Linked DNA regions of Stegostoma tigrinum. The protein of the gene in region 2 interacts with the protein of the main gene of each other region in a pairwise test. Links are inferred from orthologs where the notes say so. Each region holds a gene or a part of one and is shown on either strand. Other genes may lie near its edges.

Evidence for each region.
Region 1: the proteins of UPF0500 protein C1orf216 homolog (region 2) and psmc6 interact in binary tests that used the Homo sapiens proteins (3 or more experiments, as listed by UniProt). The two-hybrid records come from large-scale screens. The link is inferred for Stegostoma tigrinum from reciprocal best matches to the Homo sapiens genes C1orf216 and PSMC6.

The regions. Positions count from the first base shown.
Region 1 is NC_081363.1:46,105,507-46,109,261, forward strand, and holds the start of psmc6 (26S proteasome regulatory subunit 10B), read left to right. Parts: upstream 1-1,475; 5' UTR 1,476-1,549; coding exon 1,550-1,634; intron 1,635-3,755. UniProt on the Homo sapiens protein: Component of the 26S proteasome, a multiprotein complex involved in the ATP-dependent degradation of ubiquitinated proteins.
Region 2 is NC_081377.1:22,225,018-22,228,772, reverse strand, and holds the start of UPF0500 protein C1orf216 homolog, read left to right. Parts: upstream 1-1,343; 5' UTR 1,344-1,832; intron 1,833-3,755.

The sequences.
Region 1 (3,755 bases), on a different chromosome or scaffold from region 2:
TTATTATCTTGGATTCTCCAGCATCTGCAGTTCCCATTATCTCAGCCTGTACTGTGCTGTACCTTTCTATGTTCTATGTTCTTAGGAAAAGGATACTAAGAATAATATTAGAATTAAAGGTAGAGAAGATACCAGGACCTGATGAACTTCACCCTAAGGTCTTAAAAAGACTAGTTATTGAGATAGTAGATGCATTAGCTTCAATGTCCAAAATTCCCTGTATTCTGGAACTGTCTCATCAGATTGGAAAATGGCAAATGTATTCAAGATTTTATTCAAGAAAGGAGGGAGAAAGAAATCAAGAAATTATAGGCCAGGTAGTATAAGAGCTGGCAGATGGAAAATGCCAGAGTCTGTTGTTAAGAAGGTTATAGCAGGGAATTTAGAAATCTTACTATAAGTCAAAATCAACATGGTTTTGTGTAAATGTGTTTGACTAATTTGTCAGTTATTTAAGGAAGTAATAAGCAACAAAGATAACAGAGAAAATGTCCTTGCAGTGTTTTTGGATTTCCAAAAGGCATTTGATAAGGTTCCCATCAATATTTATTACACAAATTATGACCTCCAGGTGAGAATAAGCGTAGATCGATCATTTCCAGGTTGGCAAGAAAAAAACAAGTGGAGTTCCACAAGGATCATGCTGGGGCCTCAACTATTTCTAATTTAAATCAATAGCTTGAATGAGGAGAATAAATGTATGGTTGTTAAATACTGATTACCCAAAGATAGGTGATAAAATAAGTTGTGAAGAGTCTGCACTTATTATTAACAGATTAAGTGACCGGACAAATGTTTAATAAAGTTTAATGTGGGGAGATTTGAACTTGCCCATTTTGGCAGGAAGATTAGGAAAGCAGCATTTGATTTAAATTGAGAGACATTAAAGAATACTATGATGCGGAAAGATATCTTCTACAGTAAGTCACAAAAACCAAGACTGTATTACAATACATGATTAAGTTGGCAAATGAATGTTGTTGCTTATTGCAAGGAATTTAAAGTAGGGATATTTTGCTATACGTGTACAGGGCTTTGGTGAGATTACATCTGAAATATTGTGTACAGTTTTGGTCTGCTCACTTAACTAAAGATATGTTTACATTCGAAGCATTACAATCTTCTGGAGTGGGAAGGGAAGGACAGCAGAAAGAGTGGCCAACCTATTTAGGGGTTGGATGTCAAACAACACAAAGCCAGTTGCAGAAAATCTACAGTGAATGTGTGAGGATAGCACAAGACAGACAGTACAACGGACTATGACGACAAATCTCCCAGCAACCGCAATGCTTCTTACAGAAAACCTCAACAATAACCATTGAGACATCAATATGATGTAAGCTGCTGGCGCGTTCATTACTTCCGCCTGGCCAAACCAGATGCTGGGCTTAGCCACACGACAGCCATACCACCTCTAGCCACTAGAGGCTGTACACTTTGGAGGTAAGATACCTTCCCAGTCAGTGGCTACTCTTGCTTCAGAAGAGACTCATTGTCAAATGCGGCTGGGAGCTTCGTCTCGTCAGGCGGTGTTTGGTGCTGAACATCAATGGCGGATCCGAGGGAGAAGGCGCTTCAGGATTACAGGAAAAAATTATTGGAGCACAAAGAGATCGACGGCCGCCTGAAAGAGTGTATGTTTTCCACATTTTACTCATGGTTAATGGGTTGGGGTGTAACTGCGGCTTCTATGTTATGTACGAGCGAGTAGAAACGGGGCCTGATGCTGACTCGCTTTGTCATGCTGGGTAAAGCCGGGGCCGAGTGAATCGCAGCTTCAAGGAGCAGCCTCACCGGTCTGCTTCCAGACCAGGCTTCGCTCCAGTTCCCGCTGTGATTCATATTCTAAATCACACAAGTAAGATGTAGGAAATTGTAGTCCGGGATTCTATGTGAAGTGAAAGGAGTTTGTTGTGGGCCCCATTGGAAGGGAGATGATCCCAACCATCAGCGGCTAATAATCTGGAGCTAGAAGTTAAAATCCTATCCTAGCACCCTGAAACTTCAAATTCAGTTAATTAAACAAATCTGGAATTAAAAATTACTGACAGTTATCTCCTGTCTAATTTGATAGTGTGGCATTTCGCGGAATAAACTGCATCCATAAGTGGTTTGTATCTTTATATTTCTCACGAATGCAATTTTTTTTAATAACGTGGAGGAATACTATTTGGTTTCGTGCCTGTACTAACTCTTTGAAAGCGATGCAAGTAGTCCTACCGCTCACATTTGCAGAATTCCGTTCAGGATAATTTTGTTGAGGCAGTTTTGAACGCTGTTTTCACGTTATTTATATTTTAATTCATTTCATAATGTTATTCTAACTGTGCGGGATACTAACAAAAGCTGAATGAAGCACTGACAGGATCTATAAAATTTTCGTGTTATCAGTTCGCTTGTTACTTGTAGAAATTGATAAAGTATGTAGTGTGAAATAAAATACAAAAGTAACGTTATTCCCAATTATAATTACATATTCTTGCTTGAGTCTGTAACAAAAAAAATAGAAAATACTGGAAACAGTCCAGTAAGTATGTGAGGTGGATAACTAAATTAATGCTTTCCATGCTTCAAGTATCTATGTTTGTTTAATTACTGACCGGCAGCAGAGGAAATAGGAACAAGAGTAGGCCATTTGTCCCATCAAATGTATCAGTTTCTGGGTCTTGAGCATACTCTGGGATTAAACTCCCACATCTCTCCAGAGAAGGAAAATTCCAAAGATTCGCCACCCTCTGAGTGAATATTGGCGTTGAGACTGTTTTCCTTGGTTCTGGACTCACAAGCCAGAGGAAACTTGTATCCGTACCTGTTCCGTCATATCCTGTGAGAATTTTGTAAGTTTACCTGAAATCACTTCTCATTCTTTAAAATGCTGAGCACCCAGACCTAATTCTTCAGTCCCTGCTCTTGAGACAAATGTGCTGTCCCAAGATTAGTTTGGTGAAACTTCACTTTCTTTTTAAATTTGCTGTGTAGATACCCTTTATGCGGAAATCGCTTGATAAAGCTTGTTTTGGGAAATTTTCTGTGTGTTACATCAAAACAGGGCAATATTCTATTTAGTAAAGCTTTTTATTTATAAAAATGTTATCACAAAGGTAGTATTTAAATGAATACGTGGAAAAATGTTAGCTCGTAAATAACTTGCTTTGGCAGTGAAATATTTCATGGGCTGTATTTAGTTTTGAAGCATCTGATCAGTGTTTTTTTAAATAATCTTGTGCTTCATGTAATTAAAAGGAAGCAGCAATTATTGTTAATATTATGGCATACTTGTGGCAAAATATTGTGCATTACATGTTACTATCAAATTTCTTTCAAAATCTTTGCTTCCACTATACCTTCTCCCTCCACTGTGTGATTTAACTGATGTACAGCCCAATTAACAAGGCTTTGGCAATGTGTTCTTGGTGGGTGGAGTCCTGTCTCCTAGCTTGCTGGAAAATTTACACTCCTGAATAGATCTTAGAGAATATTGCTTGCTACCTCCATTAACTGCAGTTTTGTATATGTAGGTGAAAAAAGATTAAATACCAATCTTGAACTTGTATGCATTAATTACAAAGGAGAAATTTATTTTTAAATAAACTGAAGTCTTAAGTGCAACAAGTTTGTGGAATTGTCTGTGAACAATGTCGCACAATCTGACAATGTTTGTGGTGTCTCACGTGTTACAAAGTGTCTCAGAATATACTTTGCAGTTTCTAAATCCGAGATTTCTACATAGAATGCTTACATTCACAAAATATGCA
Region 2 (3,755 bases):
TCTCAGGAGGTTGTAAGTTCAAATCTCACCAGAGGAATGAACAAATAATTAAAGCTGACACTGAAATGTATACAGAGGGAGCACTGAACAGTCTGACATACTGACTAGTGGTGTTAAATTGAGGCTCTGTTTGCCACTTACCTGCTTGACAAAAATTTCATGGCACTATTTCACAGAGCAGTGGGGATATTCTTACTGGCTTTCTGGCCAATTGTTATCCCTCTACCCACATTACTGAAACAGATCTTGTTAGTACCTCGATGTTTGTGAGAGCTTGCTGCATGTAAATGAATGGCCGCATTTCCCTATAATATAACAGTCACTATATTTAAAAACACTTCATCGACTGTTATGCAGCCTGGAAATTTCTAAGATTGTAAATGGTGCTATATAAATAAAATTAATTCTTTTAACAGTTTATGGTGTCATCACCACCAGCTGAGTTGCTTGTTTTAATCCATTTCCTAATTCAGTACTGTGACATTTTCACAAGGAGTGGGCATTATTTCAGGGTTTCACTGGTGTACTTTCCCCAAACACTGGTTGAAATATAATTTCCTAACTTTGTATGTGCAATAATATAAAACAATCACTGGATGTTGCCATTCCTAAACACCAGAAAAATCATAGTACAGTCAATGATTTCTCTTTAGAGTGGTGAGAGAATTGAATTCTATGCAGTTCTGCAGGGTAGAATTAAGAGTCCTGGCAGAAACCTCACCAAGATCAAGGTCTGGGCAGCTTTGATCTCAGAATGAGTTCCTTTTGATTGCAGCTCTCAAAGTGTCTGCTTTGTCTCCTGAGAGTTCTGGAATCAAGCTTTTACTTTAATCTCTCCATCATTAGTGCTGCTTGCACAGGAAGTTGACACTTCCCAAAGACCTCTGGGACTTTTGCTCTCAGGCTGAATTCCAAGGTTTGAACATCTAGTGAAATTTCTTAACCATTTTCTACCTTCTTTTGCAGTTATGTAAAAACATTCTGCACCCTGTGTCCTAGAACCAATTCTATTTTAACCTAAACATCTTTTATATTTAAATAGTATTTGCTAATCCATGTTTCGTTTTGCTCTCTTACACCTACCAATTTGTAACGTACAAATGGAATCAAATATATTGCTTCTGAAGAAAGAAATAGGGATGGAATGAAAGGCTTTTAGATGTATCAGTAGGATTCTCAAATGGCTTCTATTGATGCATTTATTTATTCATTTTTCCATTCTTTGTTTTTCATTCCTGCTGCTCTGTGTGGAATATAGAAGCTGTGTCTAAAAGCTAGTGACAAATTCGGTGGCACTTTTTCAACGCTGGTTGCAGTAAACAGGCTAATGACAGCATTGTGAATCGTGTGCCTAGGATTTTGACACAAACACATTAACCGATGCATTAAAAATAGTGTCAAGGAATATCAGTCGCATGAAAGGTTAGTGGATACCCTGATTGTGTCATCGCAGAGTGCATGCAAGTTACAATGTGACATTGTGAATGGAGGTATGTGCAGATTATTTTTTAAAGCAGTCTTTCAAAATTTGGCTGAAATTGAAACAGTAACGGAAACAGATACAGAAGGCCCACCAGGCAATTAAGCAACTTGCAAATCCAAACAGGAAAATAGTGAGCTGTTTATTGCCAAGCTTTGTTATGGCACAAAAAGCTGTCAATGATCCAGAACTATCAAGACACAAACTGGAGTGTTCTGATGGAAGAAAGAATGCCACACAGTATGAAAGTTGCAAGGAATGTTGCTGAAAACCAAGTAAAGGGAAAGAAAAGGAGCAGCTTTCTGTTCAAACTAGGAAGAGGAGAGTAGCTTCATTTTATGGGAAAAGAAAGGTAAGTCCACCTTGATTGCTGCACAGTGCAGATAGTACATCTGTGCTCTCTTGGAATGAAGACTGCAGTTACATTATCTGTATTATCACATTGAGTAAAGAAGGGGAAGAATGTGATTACAATTCACAAAGCCTCTTGTTACATTGTTTAATTCCATGCCTATACTCATTATTGATGGCACAAAGTTTCCATATGCCTGCACCATATAAATCTTCTGCAACATTTCTTTACCTTGCTAATCTCTCTCACCCTTTTAACATGGACCTCGATTAATTTTTCAAGGCCTTACCCTAAACTATTTTCTGTTGATGTCCACCTCCTGAACAAGCATCGCAGAATGGTTCAAAATTCGAAACCTGTGTCAGTTGTTGCAAACAACACAGAAAGAAAGCTTGTAGGAATGAAATGCTTATTTTAGGAGGCGACTGTACCCTTCAGGATCTAGAATGCAAGGTATACCATTTATCCTTGCAATATGCTTGGATTATATGATATTTTGTAACAAACTAAGTCAAGATTGCAATCTCCCTGAATTAAGTCTGTGATGTCATAAACTTTAAATTGTAAATTTAAATAGAACAAAAGTTATTGAATGGAACAATCCTTGTCAGGTAGTACATTGGAAAGGAACAGACCGTGTTCATGCAGAGTCATATTGTTTACTTGTGAGACATTAAGGCATTCAACTTTTTTGCATTAACTTGATTAGTAAACAGCAATGATGTTGCATCCCACAGACAACTGCATTCTATTAGTTTTAACTTCTCTGTCTTAAAGAGTCACTATATTTGTTCACAGGTTATTACATGCATAATTTAGGAGTTTATGGAGTAATGTAATTTACCCTGGAGCATGCTGCTGTTCAAAAGCAGTGCGGTTTAAATAACCCAGTTGCAAAATAAGCAACAAGTCTTAAACCCAACTGTATCATATACAGTGTGTGCCCACTTTGAATTGCAAGCACCATTCCTCTACAGAAGGAGTTATTGTGTGCGCGAATTCGTGGTTGGAAATAAACAAGCACAAGGTCAATTTAAACACAAGCCAGTGACTTCAGCGTGGTCATATAGAGACATACTTCCATGAAAGCCAGTACAGATTATCTGAAATTCCAATGGGTTGCCAGACAGAACTGATAATTCATGTGATGAGCTATTCAGAATTTAAAAGAAATTATGGCATGCTTGTTGCCTTTTGATGTTTAAGAAATAGGGCCTTTTTAGACATATATTTTAAAAAGACCCATTGATGTTTGTTGAAAAGACAATTAAAGATAAACATCAATTTCAGTTTGTTTTTTGAGAACGCACTCATCATAAGAGAGAAATAAACTGGGATAATTCAACTATAATGCCTTATCTTTCAAATGTTCTCAATTCATTGAGGAATAATCTTCCCTTTGTACACTGTGTTTGACTGAGTTGCGAAATGGCTGACCTGAACCACATCTTTCTCAAATGGTACAACTTATAAGAGGTTTCTGTAGTGATTGTAACAAGATCAGCCAGGTGGACCTCATAGAATATGAGTTCCCTGATTAGAGCTGTTAATCTAGTCCATTCGGGGAACCCTGGCTGACACGTAAGAATATGAGTGTCAGACATCCTATTCATTCTCAGAGCTGACTCTGACGGAGCTGGATCAGTATCAAAGACACTCCGTGTGTAAATAAGGGGTGAATTAGTGACGAAGTATCAGCTTCTGTAGAGTTATTTCAGTGGTGATGTAGCCTACTAACTCAAGCCCAACTGGACTTCAGACAGGCATTACAACTGAAGCTGGATATATGCCCAATCCCTCACATACAGGATTTAGACACAAAGCTTACAGGAGGGCCGTCCCTCACAAAGCTGGACATGAGCCATGCGTGCTTGCAATTGTGGTTAGATGAGGATTCCTAGAGTATGCTATAATTAGTACCCA